Arabidopsis thaliana: one gene and its partners. The protein of the gene in region 1 binds, or shares a complex with, the protein of each later gene. Each region holds a gene or a part of one and is shown in the gene's direction. Other genes may lie near its edges.

What was found.
Region 2: PTAC12 (region 1) and PTAC7 share a complex: the UniProt entries of both Arabidopsis thaliana proteins name them as parts of the transcriptionally active chromosome (TAC) complex.
Region 3: PTAC12 (region 1) and PTAC14 share a complex: the UniProt entries of both Arabidopsis thaliana proteins name them as parts of the transcriptionally active chromosome (TAC) complex.

The regions. Positions count from the first base shown.
Region 1 is NC_003071.7:14,579,226-14,587,423, reverse strand, and holds PTAC12 (plastid transcriptionally active 12), read left to right. Parts: upstream 1-2,626; 5' UTR 2,627-2,879; intron 2,880-3,057; 5' UTR 3,058-3,078; coding exon 3,079-3,162; intron 3,163-3,279; coding exon 3,280-3,960; intron 3,961-4,050; coding exon 4,051-4,163; intron 4,164-4,237; coding exon 4,238-4,497; intron 4,498-4,579; coding exon 4,580-4,701; intron 4,702-4,777; coding exon 4,778-4,846; intron 4,847-4,940; coding exon 4,941-4,994; intron 4,995-5,084; coding exon 5,085-5,180; intron 5,181-5,258; coding exon 5,259-5,363; 3' UTR 5,364-5,589; downstream 5,590-8,198. Other genes in the region: GPS1 (geranyl diphosphate synthase 1), read right to left, coding at 5,792-5,971, 6,047-6,235, 6,317-6,449, 6,634-6,719, 6,915-6,986, 7,087-7,173, 7,265-7,396, 7,493-7,564 and 2 more. UniProt on the Arabidopsis thaliana protein: Involved in plastid gene expression. Acidic transcriptional coactivator necessary for the transactivation of many PIFs target genes (class B genes), particularly during the regulation of hypocotyl growth.
Region 2 is NC_003076.8:8,274,080-8,280,779, forward strand, and holds PTAC7 (plastid transcriptionally active7), read left to right. Parts: upstream 1-3,620; 5' UTR 3,621-3,670; coding exon 3,671-3,712; intron 3,713-3,793; coding exon 3,794-3,841; intron 3,842-3,919; coding exon 3,920-4,003; intron 4,004-4,684; coding exon 4,685-5,020; 3' UTR 5,021-5,115; downstream 5,116-6,700. Other genes in the region: ABIL3 (ABL interactor-like protein 3), read left to right, coding at 558-653, 771-853, 933-1,083, 1,193-1,292, 1,396-1,488, 1,567-1,609, 1,684-1,778, 1,862-1,989 and 1 more; AT5G24313 (uncharacterized protein), read right to left, coding at 3,027-3,272; AT5G24316 (proline-rich family protein), read right to left, coding at 5,194-5,346, 5,426-5,533, 5,631-5,671, 5,781-5,856. UniProt on the Arabidopsis thaliana protein: Essential for chloroplast development, especially for thylakoid formation. Involved in plastid gene expression, probably by maintaining plastid-encoded RNA polymerase (PEP) activity.
Region 3 is NC_003075.7:10,875,029-10,883,637, forward strand, and holds PTAC14 (plastid transcriptionally active 14), read left to right. Parts: upstream 1-3,788; 5' UTR 3,789-3,885; coding exon 3,886-3,942; intron 3,943-3,997; exon of another isoform or gene 3,998-4,058; coding exon 4,059-4,214; intron 4,215-4,627; coding exon 4,628-4,765; intron 4,766-4,812; exon of another isoform or gene 4,813-4,847; coding exon 4,848-4,973; intron 4,974-5,057; coding exon 5,058-5,186; intron 5,187-5,286; coding exon 5,287-5,376; intron 5,377-5,464; coding exon 5,465-5,615; intron 5,616-5,721; coding exon 5,722-5,831; intron 5,832-5,906; coding exon 5,907-5,978; intron 5,979-6,071; coding exon 6,072-6,177; intron 6,178-6,261; coding exon 6,262-6,456; intron 6,457-6,547; coding exon 6,548-6,669; 3' UTR 6,670-7,024; downstream 7,025-8,609. Other genes in the region: VSR7 (VACUOLAR SORTING RECEPTOR 7), read left to right, coding at 539-836, 1,069-1,743, 1,822-1,937, 2,018-2,087, 2,172-2,332, 2,490-2,571, 2,662-2,744, 2,836-2,899 and 3 more. UniProt on the Arabidopsis thaliana protein: Essential for chloroplast development, especially for thylakoid formation. Involved in plastid gene expression, probably by maintaining plastid-encoded RNA polymerase (PEP) activity.

The DNA.
Region 1 (8,198 bases):
GTTTCTACTTTTTCACAAGATTAAAGATTCACATCACCGAGTTTTTCTGCGATAACATGCCACACATACAAATTTTGTTTCTCATACACTTACTAAACACAAATATCAATTGTCACTCACAGCGTACGTGATGATATGAAGAAGAGTTTTCTCAAGGTAGCTATTTATGTTTGTAATGTCAACTAACATGATGCTATTATGACCGAAGCTCTTCCTCAAGATATTTTCATTCTCTATTCAGTCGAATTTCGTCAGTTTCATCACCCTCAAGACATTTCGATTGAATAGCTTGTAATGACGTGTTATAAGCAAGAGTACACATAGTTGCTCGAGGTTGGTAGAGCAACTTAGAACATTGTTAGCTACACTTGTTCAGTGACTAGCACGGAATTGTATATAGAAAACTGCCCACACGTTACTAAATTAATGAAAAATATCCTTTCACACAAATGCTTGTTGATATCTATCTCTGGTCTAGCTTTAAACTTGATATTTGTCTCATTACCACACAAAAACAAGGGAACATAGTAGGTGATCGGGTATATCTATATATATGTACATTAAATAACAATTTTTTGTATCATCGGACCAAGCTTGTGACGGTGAACAATTGAAATGAATGGAGTATAGAATAATTGTGATTAATAATTGAAAACACATAAAATAACATGATTTGTTAGATCTTGATTAATACTATAATAGAAAGAAGAGAAGTGTGACAACACATGGGATGTACCCAACAACACAAGGGACAGCTTCACCAGTCTGATTTATGCCACTGTCCCGTTCTTGTCCTCCCTCTGCCCCACCACTCCTTTGTTTTATTTCATCAGTAATAATACTACTAATTTTAGTTAGTGTTTAGATTAATCATAATGCAATAAACAAAGAAAAATATCTGATTTTTGGTAGAAAAACATACCAGCAGCTCATATACTATTAGTTCATATTTTTAACCGATAGTTGATTGTTAAAAAGAATGTTGATTCAAGAATTTTGTAAGAATTGCAACATTGTTGAACAACAGTGGCAAAACATACCATAAACTAATAGATACTAGTAACTATGATCACTGATCAAATAATGTATAAATCGGAGATTATTCTATGTAACATTTAACAAAAGTGTATTACAAGTAAATAAAGAATAAACTTTTTAAGTTACGAATGGTAAAAAACTAAAGAAATTTGTTAGTTCTCTGTTTGTATGCATGCATTGTCTCTCTGCTAAAATGTTCATGACAAGTCCACATCTACTCAAATACTCATCGAGGTGATTATCCTCGTCGTCGCTTTTATACACATGTAATATTACACACATCTATACATGGAGTATATTTTTAGCGAACGGATAGGTGCCATGTGGAGGTAAGTACACGTCGCCACTTGTGAGATTCTGTTCCAATTACTTGTGGAAGTGAATTATGTCGCAGAAAAAGTTTGACGAGATTTCCAATTAGCCACTCATTTATTAACGGTCACCAAAAGCATCAAATTACAGTTTTTTTTAGTGCTTTGAGATTCTTTTCCCTGACATATTGTTTTATGTAAAATAGCAAACTCGAAAAGATAGTAATAGTATCCAAATTATTATTATTACAGTATTATTTTTGATAAAAGGTTGTTATTCTTTTTTTATTTTTTTATTTATTGTATCTATTATATAATTCGAAACTGCTATATTGTTTGTCTTTAGTTTGCATCTCTAGCTTTATATATGCTTATGAAGTTTCAAATGTTGCTATTATATGCTGCTGATTCTTTTTTTCTTATGTAGGAGTATAGGTTTGACCGTTTGACAATACGAGAGGAAGAGGAAGTTGGGAAAAAACGACGCCGCATGGATAGTCTCGCTCGTTGCACGAATAGTTCAAAAGGTGACGTTAGGCGCGTGCGGGTCAGCGAAACTTGTGCCTAGTCAGACCTTTGTGGTATAGTCTTACGTGGTCTACGTCTGCCAAATTTCAGAAAACCAAAAAAACAATTATATGTTTGGTCCCTAGAAATAAATATTATCGTCGTTTAGCAAGTTTGAAGTAAGCAATAGTAGTATTAATGTATAAAAAGTGTAGGATATTAGGTTAAAATAGGCCTGTGATAGATACCGTAATGTCTATGATGTGTCTGGTCAGACCCATTTAATATTGGTTCAGACCATATTAGCACATTAGCCAATTGCCATTCACGTTGGGTCCAAACCTTCTTCCTTCTATAGTGTCTTAGACAAGTACGTACACACGCTGAAGTACAAATCATATACAAGTATTTATTCACTTAAAGGTACAATGATTGATGTTTTTTGTGTAACATGTTCCTCTAGTCCACTATATTAATCCATTACGGAGAGAACTATCTAAAAATTGTATAATCGCAATTGTAAATTGCAAATCTATTAACAAAACTAAGATGTGTTCACATGCATACTTCGATAAACATTCTTCCATATATCTTTTGTGTTAAGGCATGTTTTAAATGATCAAATCACATATTGATTTTATTTGAAAGTATATCAATATAATAAACTGTTTAGAAGATGTTTTGCCAAAAAAGAAAAAGATGTTTTGTTCTTCTTGGAAGTGTTTGTTAAAGCCCAAGAGAGACTTCAAGCTCACAATTTCTCAAAGATCCATTAATACTGGGCCTTAGTTAGATATACCAAGCCCATATACTTTCTCTTCACAAATTCCCGTTCTAATACCGGCGCGTCGTGAAATCTAGAGATTTTGCCGTCACCAGAATATGTTAATAAACGCAGGAGGAGATAAATGGATAAACCCAAAAACTGACAAGTGAAAACCTTTTGAAGCCAAAACCCCCTTCAAAATCAAGCTCCATGATAGAAAACCCTCTTCCTACATAATCTCCTGGTAAAACAAAAAGGTTAGTCTTTTTCTCCTCAACTTCGAGTGTGAAGCGTTTGTAAAAATGCCCAAAAAAATCGTACCTTGTTATGGACAATTTGTTGTATCAGGTTCTTCTTATCTGGGTTTTATGTTTTGTACTAGTTTGAAACTGATTCTGAGCATAATTGAATCGGTTGTTTTTGTAAATGATACAGTGAGAAGTAGAAAGAGTGTAAATGGCGTCAATATCAACCACCACCTGGCTCTACCGAGGTCAAGTATGCACAGACAGTGGAAAGTCCAGTAATTGTATTGTGCAGGTTGGTTCTTACACATCAAGTTTCTTGTTCTGATCCAAACTTATCTAATTTAGAGATAGTGAACATTTTAGCTTGTTTCAAGATGTCAAACTGGTAAAAGTTTGTTTATGTATGTAGAGACGGGTTAAATGTGGGTTTCCACTCAAGACATTGCATGCTGGGATTACTTCTAGGGATCGGTCTTTGCGACATTGTATCAAATGCAAGAAAGAGGATGGAGATGGTGATGTAAGTGAAGGGTCTAAGAAGAGTGAAGAAGGATTTGAGTATGTGACTGTTGAGAGGCATCCTTACCATAGTTATATGGATTCAACTTCTGGGAAGCTTGAGCCAGCGTCCGGGGCTCGGGCTAGTATTCCAGGTGAGGATTATTGGCCTGAAGGAACTTCGAGCCGGGTTAGAGCTGCTAGAGCTCCTCAACCAGCTGGTGAGTCTTCGAGTTTTCCTTCCTATGGAAAGAATCCTGGAAGTAGGAGAAAGAAGAATAGGAAAGCTACTGAGGAGAATGTGACTGTTGAAACGAATGACGAAGTATCCGATTCTGAGGATAGCTCTGAAGAAGAGGAAAATGATTCCTCGGATGGGTTTGTTACCTATAAGAATGAATTTGAGAGAGAAGAAGAGGAGACTGGTTTTGAATTAGACAAAAAGCTTGGAAGGCCACATCCTTTCATTGATCCTACGAAAAAGAAACAAATTGAAAAGACACTCACGAGCGATGAATCGTGGTGGAACTGGAGGAAACCGGAGAAAGAACAATGGTCAAGATGGCAAAGAAGACGTCCTGATGTTGAAACGGTTAGTCATCACAATGATTTCAGGTTTAAACATGTGTGTGTTTCCCCAATGTTTGATCCATTATGGTATTTTTTTTTGTTGTTGATGCAGGTTTTCCTCAAGGCAATGGCAGAAACAGGACAAGTGAAGCTCTATGGGGAAGAACCAACACTCACAGAAACTTCTCTTTATAGAGCAAGAAGGCATCTTTTCAAGGAAGAGAGGTATATTGATCTAACGAACTTTCAAGTGAAAATCTGTTTTATTAGGATTTTCTTTCGAGTTTTCTTTCTCTCAGGCTGCAAGCTGAGCGAGAGAGATTAGCGAAAGAAGGTCCAATGGCTTTTTATTCTGAATGGGTTAAAGCATGGAAGAGAGACACGTCAAGAGAAGCTGTACAAAAACATTTTGAAGAGACAGGTGAAGATGAAAACACACAACTGATTGAGATGTTCTCTCATCAAACAGATAGAGAATACCGGATAATGATGGGAACTGATATTAGGATCAAGAGAGATCCATTGGCAATGCGGATGAGGGAGGATCAAATTAAGCAAAGTAAGAAACTTTGACCGTTGAAGTTTGAACTAACTCATCATGGATATTCAATCGTTCGACTAACATTCTCGGTTTCTTGCAGTTTGGGGCGGGGATCCAGTTTACCCGACAATTAACTACATTCAAGATCCTAATGCGGTTATGGATTTCAGAGGACCTGATTTTCATGAGCCTACACCAAATATGCTCTCTTATCTAAAGGAGGTTAGTCTGCTTTGCTCAAAGTTCTATTCTTTTTCTTTCTTGGTCTGATTGTTTTCTTTGTTTCTGATTTGATCAGAATGGCAAAGTCATCTCAAGAGAGATGCATGAAGCACTACTGACAAAAGAGAAAACCGAGCAGCTCGAGGTAAAGTGACCAATCTTTCATTTCCTTTGACACAACTCTGATTGTGAGATTTCAGGGTTTCGCTTGATATGTTCGATAAATTGTATGAATGCAGGTACCTGACATGGATGATGCAATGGCACAAGCTGTTGATATTGGTGAAAACGATGTGAGTATCATCGATTACATCAGATCCTCTTCTTCTTTATTGTTTCTTGATGTATCATGCTCTGAAACATCTCCGGACATTTTTTGACAGGACGACGAAGACGATGCAGATGTAGAAAAAGACGACGAGAAAGTGCCGAGGAACTGGAGTGTCTTGAAGGAAACCCCTGAGCTTCGCACCGCCAAGGTAAAGTCACATTCAACTTGAGCCACATTATATGTCTTGTGTGGTGTGTTGATGTTATGAGCTTGGTTTCTTAAACAGCCTAAACCAAAGAAGGAAGGTCGGATGTCTCTAGACGAGGCCGTGGATGATGCTGAGAACTTAACTGATTTTCTCATGGACTTTGAAGAGGAGACTGATCCTTAAACCTGGTTTTCGTATTTCTTATGTAAAGACGTTATTTAGGGCAACTTTTTCTTCACTGGTTTTGCTTGTATACTTGGAAGGGATGATATCATTTAGGAGTGGATTTGAGTTTTGCAAGTGATTTGTATCATATGGAATTCAAATATTTTTGATTGAATTTATAGAGTTTTGAAAGTGATTTGTTAACTGTACTGCATCCTGTTTAGTTCAGCTTGAGACGGTTTAATCTGTTAAAACAAGACCTAAACCGAATTCGCAAGGAATATGATTTCACAATTAGTATCTGTCTCCTTTTTTTGTCATGTGTAGTTTAAAACCAAAGCCACAGCTTGTCAAACATTATTGTTTCGTGAAACGAATTGGACCAACAAAATCCTACAAATGAAATGAGGAATGTTTTGGTGTATAGAGAGAAACATTACTTAATCTCACTTGTTTCTGGTGATGACTCTATGGGTCAAGTCAATAAGTGCCCGCCTCGATCTTTTGACATCTTCATTGTCTGTTTCAGGTAGAGACCCGATTGCAGCTGCTGCTAGATTCGCATGTTCCATGGCTAATTCTCTTGCCCTCTGTATTCCCTTGCTCTTCCCAAGATACTCTAAAGCCTGTGTGATATAATAGTATTAGAGACTATGAAAACATATTATAGATTTTAGGAGATTTGTTTCTTTCAAACTTACAATGTCAACATTCCTAGGATCTTTTTCAACTTGATCAACAACTTCGCGTAGTTGAGGAAACTCTTCCATGGCAAAGAGGATTGGGGCTGTTATGACTCCATGGCGAATATCTGACAACGATCCCTTTCCGAGAGAGGCAGATGTGCCCGTGAAATCAAGAATGTCGTCTATTAATTGGAATGCTAAACCCTGAAAAATTAGAAGTTCATCAAAGTACTGTAAGAAAATTAGTTGCAATGGAGCCAAAGTTTTCAGAAGAAGACAACGAACCAGATTCCTCCCATACTCAAAAGCTAACACGGCAACTTCTGCTGTTTGTCCAGTGAGAACGGCAACAGCTTTGCAGCTGTTAGAGATTAGCGATGCTGTCTTATAATATGTCTTCTGCATGTAGTAGTCCATACTGCAATCATGAAAAAAATCATATTTGCATTACCGATCACTATTATATGAATTCCAGTTCCTATATAAGCCGCGATCGGGTTTTTGATGATAAAATCGACTCTTGTTTTGATTCTCAAACATACATTAGTAGCATAGAAGACTTGAGTAGTCTTGTTTTTATCGACCAGAAAAGAAGATTATACCTATAACGCTGCTCGGTTGAACTAGTTATCTCCATGGTTTCACCGGTAACAAGATGTTCTACAGCAGTTGCAAGTAATGCTACAACCTACAAAAAAAGAGACACAATGAAGATGTATGGCTTCGAAGAAGTGATAATTAATTCTGAAGACAGATGTCATTGATTCTAGATTGTATATCACGGGAGATTCAATATAGCCTGTCAACCACAGTATCTTATAAAAAGTAAAGATTTCTTCGAAAAGTTTAAAATACCAGGGTCACGTTTATTAGTTTCTTTTACCTCTGTGTTCTTTAAAGCAGCGAGAGCCCCACAAGCCCGGGAGAGCAAGAAGTCTCCTGCTAATACCGACATCTACAACATGAAGCCAATGGTGATCTTCATATCCAAATTGCAGCACAATCGCCAAAAAGCATATTTAATCATGTCTTAGCTTCTACTGTCAAGTGAGTACCTTGTTACCCATTACAACATTTAAGGAACCAACACCACGCCTTGTATCGGCATCATCCAAGACATCATCGTGCAGTAGACTTGCGACCTACAATGACCCGAGCATTACTAATTTTAAAAGGGAGGATACTGGATCTTGATCTTTAATGAATGTTATGAGTAAAACTATAGTTACTCACGTGTATCATTTCAGTGATTTCAGCAATACCCCGTTGCCTTACGCGTAATTCTGATGTGACTATATCTGTTGATTCCCCAATCAATGCTTCTGGAACTCGTACATTCAGAGCTGTCGCCATCAGCAGCAAAATCTACAAACATGATACCAGACTGGTTATGATACCAAGAGAGAATGAACCAGAACATGAAAACAAGATATGGTGACATAAAGAGATTATGGTCATTACAGTTGAACGAAACTGTTTTCCTTGCACACCCCTTTTGAAGAAGTACTCAGCAGCAGAGGCAAGCTTTGGAACCTAAACAGCAGAATATAGAAAAAAAATAGAGATTAGCTTCAGAACATCAGTAGCAAATTTGCTTTCACCACACCATTGTGCACACAATGAGTACTAATGAATGAAAAAAGGCCACTCACCTCGGCAAGTACCATCTCTCTCAACTTATTACTAAGAAGTGACAGCTCATCGGCAACAAGCGAAAATGGGTCAAGCTCCTCCTAGGAAAGGACAATCTTACTCTTTCAGCAGTCGGAAAAGAAAAGAAGTTACAGCAATAAATCAAAGTTAAAAAAACAATGACCAACTCAACAAGTTCAGTGACAAAAAGTGAGAAAATTTAAAGTTGGGGTTTGACAGTTTTTTCTTCTACAACTGAAGCAATGTCCAACAAAATTGAAGTATATGTGAAAGTTTAACAATAGAGGATGATAGTGAGCTAAGTACGAACCTCAACCAAGGAGCTACTCTGGTGATAGAGTTGATGACTAAATCCACCAAAAACCGGAGATTTCAATGAATAAGTTGTTCTGCAAACGTAACCCTACTAAAACATCACAAAGAATAACACATTGGTTAGGTCACCAATTCTTTATAACACATAAGATTTTAAAATAAACTGATCTCTCACAACTCTTTTCTTCTTCTCTCTCTG
Region 2 (6,700 bases), on another chromosome or scaffold:
TAGGGTTTGATTTTGGATGACTAGTCCCTTTTTAGATTATTTACTTGAAATGGCCCTTTGTCTCTGTTTATATGCTATGGAACAAAATTTGCAATTCTTGATCTCGGTTGGTTGGAAAATGCTAATTCTTTAATCTTTTATTTGTAGATTTTGTTAATTCTTTGTTGTCTTAAAAATAGTATTGTTGAAGATTCAGACAAAAATGTGTTTTTGTTTCAGATCAAATTGTCTGGTTTCTTTAGAGCTGTGGATTCTACTTCTTGTCTGTTTGTTATTCTTTATTAAGATTTAGTTGGCGTGTTGTTGTTTACCTTAAACATCCACAGAATCATATACTCTTTGGTTTAAATTCCTTAAAATGGATTTAAAACACTCTAGACCAATATTAGTTGCTTTAGTTTCATTTTGCTAGCAGCTTGAAATTTTCGAGTATTCTTACAAATACCATCGCTGAAGATTTGACTATTTGTTTTCTTCATTCTTGTTTGATCATTTCATTTCCACAGTGAAAACAGAAAGCAGCATTTGAGATTCCACTGTTAATCTTTGAATTAAAAATGAGTGCAGCAGCTACAATGCCTATGCCCCGAGAAGCGTCTAATTACGATGAGATCTCTATGCAACAGAGCATGCTCTTCTCTGATAGTCTCAAGGTAGATTCTAAAGTATCAAGTTGAATAATCTTAATGGATTTTGTGATCATTGCTAAAGCCTTAAATCTTCTGTTTACATGTTCTGCAAATAGTTTAGTAAACATCTTTGTTATACAGGATCTGAAGAATCTGAGAACACAGTTGTATTCAGCAGCTGAGTATTTCGAACTATCCTACACAAACGATGAACAAAAACAGATGTGAGTGAGTTTATTCCTCTCCCTAATTGTGATTGTTCTCTTTTCTTGGAGTTTTGTAAGTTTTTACTTGTGTATGTAGAGTCGTGGAGACACTGAAAGATTATGCAATAAAGGCTCTGGTGAATACAGTTGACCATTTGGGGTCTGTTACATATAAAGTAAATGACTTTGTAGATGAAAAAGTCGATGAAGTAGCAGGAACCGAACTGCGAGTATCTTGCATTGAACAGGTATCCATTATTCTTCAAATGGACAGATATTTCTGCTTTAGTTTTATTCAGTTGGCATTTTTGAGAATGATTCTTGTTTGTATTACTGAACTTTCTTATATGTGTATAGAGGCTACGGATGTGCCAAGAGTACATGGATCATGAAGGTCGTTCCCAGCAATCACTTGTGATCGACACTCCAAAGTTCCACAAGCGGTACTTCTTGCCTTGTAAGTTTCGACTCTCCAAAGTTCCCTATATGTTTCTACAAACTTTCGTTCTCTTATTTGTCGGTTTTGGGACTCAGCTAACAAAAACGAAATTCTCTATCAGCTGGTGAAATCAAAAGAGGTGGCAACCTCGCAAAGCTTAAGAATGTTGAAGGTAGTTTTGATGGAGAAGATGACTGGAACCAATTCAGAAATGGTATAAATTGCCATTTCATTTACTTAGAAATTGCCTTGATTCTTGATTTGATATGTTTCTTGTTGTGAATTCTTAAAGCTGTTCGCGCTACAATTCGTGAAACGCCTCCACCACCTGTTAGGTATAGTCCAGTACTCATAGTGAGTTCCCTTGTCAAATGACCGAGAAGTACTAAACTTTTATCGCTTTTTGCAGAAAACCGATACTTCAGTCTCCCTCTCAACGGAAACCTCAACGTTCAGCAACCTTTTCGTTCTCCTCTATCGCCACCGCACCAAAGAAAGAACAAGGTAAAAGACAGCTTCACCTTGAAATTGCCGTTTTTGGCTTAATATGTAAACAGAACCTTTAAACAGTGTGCATGGTAAAATAGATAAGCGAGCAGTATCACCACATCGGTTTCCGCTGCTAAGATCTGGTTCGGTTGCTATCCGACCGTCATCAATCAGCCGGCCAACAACCCCGAGCAAGAGTAGAGCGGTAACTCCAACTCCTAAACGGGTAAGCTTCGGTTACATTTCAAAAACACTCACTTCTAGGCTCTATCTCTAACGGTTGATTCTTGATATTTTCTGGCTCAGTATCCGTCAGAACCAAGAAGATCGGCTTCGGTTCGGGTTGCGTTCGAGAAAGAAGCTCAGAAAGAACCAGAGCATCAACAACAACCGAGCAAGAGCAAACGGCTGCTAAAGGCGCTACTTAGCCGACGCAAAACAAAGAAGGACGATACGCTCTACACTTATTTGGACGAATATTAAACCGAAAGCTGGTTTTGTATGTTGACTGGTAAACCGGAAATTACATTCCAGTTTTAATTGCATTTACGTAATGTCAAATTGTCAATATATGTGTTACAAAATATGTCCATGATTCTATGATTTTGTGTATACCTTATGACTGTCAGAGTGTGAATGCAGTTTTGTTTACAAGCGTAGTAAAACTTGCTGTGAATTATTTTACTGCCGATTTTAACCAAATTAACAGCAAGTTTATATATACAATTTCGTTCTCGAAATATTATTTGACAGTTTAATATATATTTTGCATCAATTACTGTTGCAAGAATAATTATGTTTTTGAAACTTTTGCTTTTATTTATCCAGTTTTTGAAATTGATTAAGAATGTTTGAGACTAATCCTCCCTTTTTTCTTTTTTTTTTTTTAAGCCGTGGTAATGTGGTATTCGTTCGGTAAATCTACCTATTCAAAAAGATAGTATCATCGACTTTTCTGTTGTATTAACTTACCATTTACAAATATTACATTAATTAATTTGAAACAAGTCAAATTTATTGTCACCAAGAATGAAGTACACGTATACAGATAAAAATAAAGAAGAAAAAAACAGAGACAACTTTTCCGGAGATTTTACTTTAGAAAGCAAAGAAAACTAAATCAAACCAAGCCTTCAAAAATTAGGTAGCTCTTATAAACCGGATCATAAAACCAAACATCAAAACATATGTATGCTCTTTCAAAACATGGTACCAACTCACGAGTCTTTTCATCAGGGCCGATTCTCACCATCACTCAATGGTCTAGACACCATCAGTTTGGGGTTCAACTTCTGATCTTTTGGGTGGTGGTGGAGGTGGTGATCTGTCGTAATGCTCAGCAACAAGTGAACGATGAGAAGAAGGAAGAAAAACCTGACGAGACTCCATCGATGGAAAATAAGATGATGGTACATTATCGTCAAGAAGTTTCCGGTTGGTTTGAGCATGCCCGATCATGATCATAGCTAAGAGAACACAACATATTAAGAGATGATTCCTAGAAGCCATTTTCTCATCCGGTGATCGATAGAGTTAATTTCTTTGCTTATCAACTATGTTGAGGTTCCATCTTGTAATGTCTTATGTATATACATAGCTCACAAAGTCACAATAGAGGGTTCCCACTAACTATTATTAGATTGATTGATTTCTGAAAAATATTATTTTTGTGTACCAAGTAAAATTATATGATTTTAGATTTGTTGTTAGTTTTGATTTGTTTTAGATTTTTTTTTTGTGCAAGTTGAATTATTATTGTATAGATAAAATGACGAGAAAAAAAAATGCCCGGTTCGGTTAGGAATGATTTGTCCAAATACGAACACAACCAAAGATAAACCATTAAACCGAACCGGAGAAGCTTACATATAAAATAGGATCCGGTTCTATCTATTCACTGTGTATCAATGGCTTCCTTCACCTGTTCTTCTCCATCTTCGATTTTACCTGTAAAAATCCCTCCTTTGCTTCTCTCATAATCATCCTTTGATGTCAATGTGATTTCTCATTTTCAATTATTGTATATTCAGATTATTGATACGAGAAGTGGGAATTTGCGATGCACATTTCAGTCTCAGGTTTTGAATGGTTGATATATATACGAATTTGTGGGTTTTTGGGGGAGAGTTTTGAGTGAATCTGGTTGATTTTTTCAGGTTTCTTGTGGGATTCAGAGAGATGATAATGGACGCCGTGTTTGGCGGAGGAGAACATTGGTAAGTACTAAACTTGATATTTTGGTGATTTTCCAGTTTCATGTTTATGACATAAGTCGAATCAGGAATCAAAATAAGGGTTTTTCTTTGCTTGGAGACGACATTTCTAAAAAGTTGCAATTTTTAGTAGGATCACAGATTAGCTTTAACTCACTGATGAGGCATGACTATTAACTCTAGTTAGTCTTTACTTAGTCATAGTAATTGATATGATGCATAGAAGGAGAGATGGAGATTGTCTTCTCTGAGTTTTTGCGATTTCTAGTTTACCCTTCTTGATTCCAAATTAGCTTACACACCTGTTTCAAAAGTGTCTTTGTTGAACTATGCTCATTTCAGACGCTAGCTTTAGTTCTTATACTGTTGATGAACTTAAAGAAACATGGCTTTTTACCTCTAGTTAGTGTTTACTTATATATATTCAAGTAACCATGGTCTTATCTCTATGGCACATGCAAGAAATTGGAGATTGTCTTATCTGAGATACTGGGATTTTTAGGTGGGAGTTACACATTACATAAAATATTAGTGTGATCTTTTTACTTGTACTATATTCTACAAACTATCAGTTTCTGTTGTTTGATCCTATCAGGTTCATGAGGTTTTGAGATTTCAATAATTACCAAAGCCAGAACAATGCAAAATCTTTGTTTATATTTGTCCCGCTTTTAATCTCTCTATGTCGTTCTCCTGTTTTGTCTGTAGACGAAGAAGGACGATATGTTGCGTTACAAAATGCAAAGAGTTCCATTTGTGGAAGAACAAGTAAGGAAGATAAGAGAAGTTGGGAAGGTAATGACAATGGACATAGAGCAGCTTCTTTTGAGGGAAGACAATCGGTTTGAATTTGTCAATAGCGTAGCAGCTGAAGCAACAGAGTACGTGGACAAGAACAGAGACGAATATGGAGGTTCCAAAAAAGCCATCTTTCATGTTCTAAGCAACCGTGTGAACGATCTCGGCTTTGATCGCCCTGAGGCTTATGTAGAAGCTGATCCTTACAAACCCGGTCCTGGCTATTTGTTGGAGTACTACACTTGATATATTATAACAAAAAGTGTCAATGTACTTTACAGCTTTTGTTCTTGTATTACCAAAACCAAATCAATGCATTCACAGCTTTGTTGTTTTCTTGGCCAAATTTCATTTTATTTATTTAGATTTACTAGATGAAGACGAAAGTCTAATGACAAGAGTTTAGTAAAAGTAACGGTCTAGTGATTTGTGGTGAAAGGAGGTCGTCGTGTCGGTGGAGGAGGAGGAGGAGGTACATATGGCATTGGTCGTTTTGGGATTGGTCTTGGAGACCAGTCCCCATAGTCTTCTTTGTTATAGACAGTTGGTTCCTTTGTCACAACCTCATCAACCTTTCAAAACCAAACTCATACACTATTAAAAAAGGAAGACACTTTTCGTAATACTTCATTTTTGCTATAGGGCACGTACTTGTGTTCCTGGAATTGTAGGGTCGGATGGCTTGGGAGGTCTTAGATGCGGCCCAGCGTAGTCCATCTCCAGATCGATTCTTCTTCCATTCATGACCATCTCTTTAACCTTTTTAAATCAACAAGTTTTATATCTTTTTGTTTTTAGTTTTGATGCATATTTGTAATCAAATATATAACGCTTTTAGAACCGTGATTGTTAATACCTTGCGGTTGATGTTGTCATGATGCAAAGTCTCAACGATCCCTAACAAAAATATGAAGCATATTTATTCAATTCGGAGTTCTATATTGACCTATATAAAATGTTAAAGCTACTATAAGTTTGCATATGTTAGTTGATCAGATCTATATACCTGAAGAAAACATTGGGAGAACGAGCAAGAAAGATACTAGTATCACTAGCTTCATCCTTAAGTCAGATTCTCTCATTTTTGTTTTGTTTTGGTGATATGTGAATTGATTTTTATAGTATAAGTTGAGATACACATATATACGAAGACAGAGATATATAGTAGTCAATCGTAATTATGAAGATAACGCATCACATTGACTAGATGAATCCGTAATCAACTAAAATATGGACAATCAATATAGTCAAAGCAAAAACGAATATGTGAATTCTCCATAATTAAGTTATACCATTATTGTTTCCTCTCTTGAGAGAATCCATATGTTTTAATTTAGGAAGGGGTATTCAATAGCTAAATCTAGAAAGATTAAAATAATAATAAAAAGTTATAGATTCTGTTTAAAAAAATTTTTAAGAAATTTTATTTTAGACAATATGAGATTTGTTTCTTCGTCTTTATTATTTAACTTTTGATTAAATTCCGTTCAAATGACATTTGGCATCTAGCCATTAATATTAAGTACTGAGACCAAATTAAAAAGAATTAATGTTAAATCTTGTAACTATTGAGACTAACATTTTAAAACGTTATCTTGTAACTTTTCTTTTTTCATCCGATTTTAATTAAAACTCAAAAAAGGCAAACATAACTACCTGATGAATGTTGTTATATAAGTGATATAAAACGGTTTGGTGCAATCTTTTCACGCCAAGTAAACATATTTTGTAACTATTGAGACCAAATTAAAAGGAATTTAAAACGCGTTTCCCTCTGTTTTATATTACTTATCCTTTTAGTTCATTTCACACAAATTAAGAAAAAAAATTTTTTTATTGTTTTACCCCTAATTAATACACTGTTATCTATATATACATTTTTGCAGCCATTTTAGCAAATAAATCCTCAAGTTTAAACTTATTTAC
Region 3 (8,609 bases), on another chromosome or scaffold:
TAAGAGGAATAGGAAAGGTTTTCAGAATTCAGATTGGAGAAAACGAATCCTATGAATGAATTAGGTTAAAATTTTTAGTTTCTTTCTCTATATAATTAAAATTTGATATTTATCAAAAACAAATTAAATAATTAAAAGGATATATCCAAATAATTAGAAAAAATAAGAATCTAAGTATATATCTTGTTTATACACGCAATGTTTATCTCTTCAAAGTCTAGGCTTTTGATCGAGTCTCCTACTATACTAATACCACCAACCAATTTAAAAAAAAAACAAGTAGAAATTTAACAAAAGTCTAACATCTTCCAAATTTTTTCCATTTTCTAAAATTATGTTTTGAGTTTGACGTTTCTTTGTTATTTATATAAACTATAGTATGCTATCATCTTCAATCAGAAACAGTTCCACAGAAGTTTTCTGTTTTAACTTTTCCTCTGTTTTTGATTTTTCTCTCTGAATCTCTCCTTCATTTCCCCGGGAAATAGTACCAGAAAGGTTATCATCGATCAAACTCTTCTTGGTGGATTCTTCAGAGATGGGTTTAGTCAACGGGAGAGCTTCGTTGACCTTTCTCCTCGCGGCGTTGACCATCATCGCTATGGTCGTCGAGGCTAGGTTTGTGGTGGAGAAAGAAAGCATAAGCGTGCTGAATCCAGAGGAGATGAGGTCGAAGCACGACGGCTCGATAGCCAATTTCGGTTTACCCGATTACGGTGGGTTTTTAATCGGGTCAGTGGTTTATCCGGATAGTAAAACCGATGGATGCTCTGCTTTTGGTAAAACCTTCAAGCCCAAGTTTCCTCGTCCCACTATTCTGCTTCTTGATCGTGGAGGTAAAAAAGTTAAAAACATCTTTAAAAGTTAAAACCTCTGTTTTGTCCATTTACTGTTGTTTTGTTTGAGTTCAAAGATTTAAACTTTAGTCTGCTATGTTATTAGCCAATAGGACTTTATGGGTTATGCTGCAAAAATACATTTTGAGCAGAAAGATATATTTTTTTTACAAAGAAAGATTAAAAGTTTAATCTCTCAAGTAATCTTTGCTCCATTATTGGATGTTTTTAGGTTGCTACTTTGCCTTAAAAGCGTGGCACGCGCAGCAAGCAGGCGCGGCTGCAGTTCTTGTGGCGGATAATGTAGACGAGCCATTGTTGACAATGGATTCACCAGAGGAGAGCAAAGATGCGGATGGTTTCATAGAGAAGCTAACAATCCCATCGGTGTTAATCGATAAATCATTTGGAGATGACTTAAGACAAGGGTTTCAGAAAGGGAAAAACATAGTTATAAAACTAGATTGGAGAGAGTCTGTGCCTCATCCTGATAAGAGAGTAGAATATGAGCTGTGGACTAATAGCAATGATGAGTGTGGTGCACGGTGTGATGAACAGATGGACTTTGTCAAGAACTTTAAAGGTCATGCTCAGATACTCGAAAAAGGCGGTTATACCGCGTTTACGCCGCATTATATTACTTGGTTTTGCCCTTTTCAGTTTATAAACAGTCCACATTGTAAGTCTCAGTGTATAAACCATGGGAGGTATTGTGCTCCTGACCCTGAGGATAATTTCAGAGAAGGGTATGAAGGGAAAGATGTTGTGCTTGAGAATCTGAGACAGCTTTGTGTGCATAGAGTTGCGAATGAGAGTAGCAGGCCTTGGGTTTGGTGGGATTATGTTACCGATTTTCATTCTCGATGTTCGATGAAGGAGAAGAAATACAGCATAGATTGTGCTGAGAGTGTCATCAAATCTCTGAGTAAGAATCTTTTTTCTTTTCCTTTTTAGATTTTAAAGAAAGAGAGTCTTCTTTGTTTAGGTTATGAATCTTTAAGACTTTTTTCAGATTTACCTATTGAGAAGATCAAGAAATGCATTGGTGATCCTGAGGCTGATACAGAGAACCAAGTTCTGAGAACTGAGCAAGTATCTCAGGTTAGTTTCTTAATCTATCTTTATTTAGAGTTTTGAAGAAACATTTCAGAGGTTTGGTTACTAACTGTAACTATTTCAAGATTGGCCGAGGAAACCGGGGAGATGTTACGATATTGCCAACATTAGTCATCAATAACGCTCAATATCGAGGTTTGGTACTTGATATTTTTTCAGTTTCACTCTCTCTTTATGAAGATGCTGAAGTTTCTGTTGTTATTGGTTGCAATTGTGAAGGGAGATTGGAGAGAACCGCGGTTTTAAAGGCGATATGCGCTGGTTTTAATGAAACATCGGAGCCTGCCATTTGCTTAAACACAGGTCTAGAGACAAATGAGTGCCTTGAAAACAATGGTGGTTGCTGGCAGGATACAAAAGCAAACATCACTGCTTGTCAAGTATGTCGTAAAACCGAGCTTACCACATCACATCTCACCACTATATTGAATATCAGTATCAATTTGTTTGGAATTGTTTTGAAAACTAGAGAAAATGTGAAAATCTAGAGAGATATTTTCTAGTCCTATAATACTTGAATCTTTTTTGTTTGATCAGGACACATTCAGAGGAAGACTCTGCGAGTGTCCGGTTGTAAAAGGTGTTCAATATAAAGGAGACGGGTACACTTCATGTACACGTAAGTTGTTCACACATTTCACACAACATAGCTCTCAAATGTTGAGACCGGTTTCTTGAATAGTCTCTGGTTTGTGATTGAGCTTTGCAGCTTATGGGCCTGCGAGGTGTACTATGAACAATGGAGGTTGCTGGTCTGACACAAGGAACGGCTTAACTTTCTCTGCTTGCTCAGTTTAGTGATTCTCTTGTCATAAGCCAAACCCTCCCTTACAAAGTTCTTGTTTTCAGTTCAATCATCTCTTTGTTATTTATGAAAAATTAGGACTCTGTATCTACTGGCTGCAAATGTCCTGAAGGTTTCCAAGGCGACGGTTTGACGTGTGAAGGTACATAACTCTTAACTTATCGATTAAAATCTCGAAAGAAACCACATAATCATATTACCAACAATGTAATTATGTTTTCTGATTTGGCTCTATTGCAGATATTAACGAATGTAAAGAGCGTTCGGTATGTCAATGTAGCGGTTGCAGATGCAAGAACTCATGGGGTGGATACAAATGCAGCTGTTCTGGTGACCGGCTTTACATAAACGATCAAGATACTTGTATAGGTAAAATTTTATCAATCAAGATTTAAGAGTACTCAAATTCCATAACAGTATCTAATTAATATACATTGATGATTGTTTGTTACAGAGAGATATGGATCCAAAACGGCATGGTGGCTCACATTCTTGATACTGGCTATCGTTGCAGTAGCCGGTTTAGCTGGTTATATATTCTACAAATACCGGTTCAGGGTACTACTACTCTTTCTGATTCCACAAAAGCATTTTTGTACTTAATAACGGTTTTAGGATTACCAAACTAACTTTTCTTTGGTGTTCCTATTAACAGTCTTACATGGACTCAGAGATTATGACGATCATGTCACAGTATATGCCACTTGAGAGCCAAAGAGCTCGTGAAGTTCCATCAGAAGCCGAGCCTTTTACACTCTAATAGTATATGACCAAAGTAACCAAAACTGTCATACACAAAGAAATGTTTGAGATCAATTAATGTACATATGAATTATACTGTAAAAATAAAAGAGTGAGATAGAGTTGTGTATATTTTCATGGCAAAAAAATAAATAATTTGGATGTAAAGAGACTTTTGAAGAAAATAAAACAAATATTGCTTTCATTGAGAGTTGAACTCAAGACCTCCCGCTTACTAAACGGGTGCTCTAACCAACTGAGCTATGAAAGCTTCTTGCAACATATTATTCCAAATAAATTATATCGTAAACTAAGAGTTAAAATCTTGAAAACAAAGGATAACGATCTTCGTCTCCCTCTGCTAAACCCATTTTCTTCTGTTGAGGAATGGCTTCTTCAGTCTCTCTTCAGTTCCTGACCAACACCTTTATCTCCAAACCTCAGGTTCTTAATCTTATCTCTCTGTATCACCTAATGTTTCTATGTCATGTGTGTGTGTGTGTGTCTGTCTTTGTCTGAATTTTCTGAGTACTCCTCATGTTTTTTCCGGTCGGACAAAGGGTTTCTGCAACGGAATTGTGTCAGCACCAAGACCCAGAAGCAATTTATTAAGAGACAGACAAAATGGTGTACGACCCATCAAAGTTGCGTCTATTGAGACACAACCTTTCCCTCTGTTTCAATCTCCTGCTTCCGAAGAATCTTCCTCGTCCGAGGTTAGGATTTTCAGTTTTGAGTGTTTTAGGGTTTATAGAGTTCTAAAAGGCAGTACCTTTGACAATTCTTTGCATTGCCCCTATCTGGGAGATTGATTTAGAGTACAAATGAGTTCTAAAGGTAGTACCTTTAGACAATTCTGTTCATTGCCCCCATATGTGATATTGATTTAGGGTACATATGAGTTCTTAAGGCAGTAACTTTAGACAATTCTGTGCATTGCCTCCATCTGTGAGATTGATATAGGGGACTTCTTAAGGCAGAAACTTTAGACAATCTTGTGCATTGCCCTCATCTGTGAGATTGATGTAGGGTACAAATGAGTTCTAACGGCAGTAACTTTAGACAATTCTGTGCATTTCCCTCATATGTGAGATTGATTTAGGGTTTTTGTCTTTTGTTTCTTCACTAGCTGGAGACAGCAGATCCGGATTTCTACAAAATTGGCTATGTTCGAAGTGTGAGAGCTTATGGAGTTGAGTTTAAAGAAGGTCCAGATGGTTTTGGTGTCTATGCTTCTAAGGATATCGAACCTCGCCGTCGAGCTAGAGTCAGTCTTCTTAGTTAAAAAGTTGACAACTTTTTGTTTTGTTCTTCTCTTTAGATTATTTTGTTTTCTTTTCTCTCTGCAGGTGATTATGGAGATTCCTCTTGAACTGATGATAACCATTAGACAGAAGCACCCTTGGATGTTTTTCCCTGATATTGTACCAATTGGTCATCCTATTTTCGATATCATTAACTCGACTGATCCTGAGGTAGTAACACATTTGTGCTATTTCGATATCATCAACTCGAAAGTTCTTATCTTTCTCAAAGTCCTTTCACATTTGTGCTTACAGATTGATTGGGATATCAGATTAGCGTGTCTTCTGTTATTCTCTTTTGATCGAGATGATCACTTCTGGCGGCTCTATGGCGATTTCCTGCCGGCTGCTGATGAGTGCAGCAGCTTGCTTTTAGCTACAGAGGTGGATTGAATTGATATGATTGCCATTTGAAACTGGTCACATTTACTTGTGTCTTTAAACTAATGCTTGATGATATCTAATTCTGTGTGTTTTTCTATAGGAAGACCTTGCGGAGCTTCAAGATCCTGATCTTGTTTCAACTATCAGACAACAACAGAAACGAATCCTAGATTTTTGGGAAAAGAATTGGGTAATGAGGCCTTATATATGTGTTTCCAGTATATCTTGACATTTGGTTATTGCTTTGTTTTTCATTGGCAAATTGTATTCCGTCTCAGCATTCAGGTGTTCCTCTCAAAATCAAAAGGCTTGCCGAGGATCCAGAAAGATTCATATGGGCGGTTAGTATGGCACAGACACGATGCATCAGTATGCAAACTAGGGTCGGTGCTTTGGTTCAGGAATTAAATATGATGATTCCTTATGCTGGTAAGGAAGAGCATGTTGTGTAGTTATTGATAAATTAAGATTTAGTATCAATGAACTTTTTGTTGAGGAACTAAATAAGAATCTCACGATTGATCATTCTCTGCAGACATGCTAAACCACTCATTTGAACCAAACTGTTTCCTACATTGGCGTCCTAAAGATCGCATGCTGGAGGTTATGTCAAATGCTGGTCAAGACATTAAGAAAGGCGAAGAGGTAAGAGACTCAAATGTTCCTAAGTGTCAGCCTCACTTCACTGCTTTATCTATCTTCTTATAATGCTTTTCACAGATGACGATTAATTACATGCCAGGCCAGAAAAACAACATGCTTATGGAAAGATACGGCTTCTCAACTCCTGTGGTAATGCTTTTTACGACAATCACATTCATCTTACACAAACTATGTTTCCTTTGCAAGTTTTCTCGTTTATTCAGTTTTTCTGGTCTGCTGCAGAATCCGTGGGATGCTATAAAGTTCTCTGGAGATTCTCGCATCCATTTAAATTCCTTTTTATCGGTCTTCAATATTTATGGTCTTCCTGAAGAATATTACCATGACAGTAAGTTCCTTTTCTTCTGTTTCCTCTCTATTCCTTGACAAAAGATGGAGAAATGAGCACCAATGTTACCTAAATCTGTGGCAGGCGAGTTATCGAGGGGCGATACTTTTGTTGATGGAGCAGTTATCGCTGCAGCAAGAACATTACCTACTTGGTCAGACATAGATCTTCCTCCAATACCGAGTGCGGAAAGAAAAGCAGTTAAAGAATTGCAAGATGAATGTCGAAAGATGCTTGCGGAATATCCCACAACAGCAGAGCAAGACCAGAAGTTGCTAGGTATTACACTAAAGATATATACACCAATGTGTTATTATCTATTATCGCTCATATACTAAAACTTAAGCTTTCCCTCTTGTTGTTGTGACAGATTCAATGTCAGAAGCAAGGACAACATTTGCAACAGCGGTTAAGTATAGAATGCACAGAAAGATGTTCATCGGAAAAATTATCAAGGCACTTGACATCTATCAAGAACGGTTACTCTATTGATTCAAGCAAAAAATAATTATGAGCTGAGTGAGATTCATACTTGGTGCTCACTCCCTTGAGCTACTTAGAAACTGCACCATGTAATTGAAAGGTTCCTGTTTTTTTTTTTGTTTAGTGTAAGGTTATGTATTTGTATGGAACAGTTAGACTAAGTGTGTTAGTTTGTTTTAATCGCAATCACAAACAAATCATAACCTCTTCTTTTCTTGGCTGCTTTAATGAGTTTGATTAGCCAACAAACGCTTTGGAATCATCTGTGTTTTTTTTTTCTCTTTTGATTAATTCATGTTCATGTTTTTAGTCCCTAAGCATGATTAGTGTCTCAAATGTTTTAGGGTAATTGTGTCTCTTACGCCGAACTATAATGTTGATTAGTCTCAATAATTGATTATTACTTATACTATTTATTAACCTTGTGGTTACACTAATCAATCAAATCATATTGCGTTTCTTCTACTCTTTGTCTAACATTACTATTTTCAAAAAAAGTTACGGTCCAAACCAAACAAACCTACTCTGAGTTATACAGAACCATAAGCAATCTATTTCTTACCTTTGGCTACTTATTTGATACTTTACATTGACTAACTTGATTCTTAATAATTATCTTCAATATGTTGAATATTTTATTTTTGAAGTAAGACCACTATGCGTTTCATAATTCTTGCCATGCATAATGAAATTATTCCTTTGAATTTAAGATTAATTAAAGTATAAATCAACCAAACAATAGACAAAAAAAAATAAAAAAAAATAAGCATCTTGATCTTTTTGGTGGATCGAAGATAATTCCTTTGTCTCATTCTTTTGGATTTAGAATCTCGTTCAGTAGAATATTAACATTTTTAATTATAGATTATCAATTATCGAACAAGTTGTTGTACGTAAACTTGATTCGATCTAGCGTTATTACAGTCAACCAAAATTTATATAATAATAACAATTTATGAAAATGACAATATTATTCGATGTATTATTCCTTTTTTCCTATAATTAGATAGGTGTGATTAAATTCAAGCTAGATTCCGAATCGACAACAACATATTATATCTATTATTAACCTCAATTTTTGAAGGCAAAAAACACACGAAATTATTCAAAACTCACGAGTTGATTCTTTACTTCGATGAACATATAAATTGGGAAAGTATCACCGAACTTATTTGGGTAATAAAGAAAAAGATGGATGAAAAAATTATGTTTGCAAATTTTAATAAGAATTATGTTTGACTTGGTAATAAAATATAGGGCATAATCATATGATGCCATGTTAATGTACGATCATACCACAACTGCTCTCCTTGTCGTGAAAAGGTTGAAGTGATGAGAAGCTAACACACTTTGTGACATAACCAAAGCCAAAAATATATACTTCAACCAAGTCATTTTCTCAACCACTCTTTTCTCCTTGTCCAAGGTCAAAGCCATGCATCACCATTTTATTTTCTATTATTCATTATTGTTACTTTTCCTTTATATAACTAATAAAAGGTCTATTACTAATAAACAACTAAACTTTTCTTTTCTTTTTGATAAAATTAAACAACTAAACTTGTCGAAAAGAAATAGGAGAACAAAGAACTCTAACTTCTCACGAAATTGATAAATCAAATGATTGCGTATCACAAAGACACTAAAAAGAAAAATTAAGGAATCGTGTAGAGTTGACACTCTATACATTCAGAGTAGTAATCATGTGTTTGATAGATAATAAATAGATAATGGAAGTATGAAATGAGAAAACTTGTTGGGATCATTTATCATTTGTGGAATCCTCTAAATCTTTTCTAACTTAACTCCAAGTCGTTAGAGTCCAAGAGATATGAATCGATCGGAACTTCAATACAGAATTTAATTAGAATATAGTGGAACAACATCCACGAATCTAAATGTCATAAGTTGTTAATTGATCAAACGAAATAGAATGTACTTATTATAAG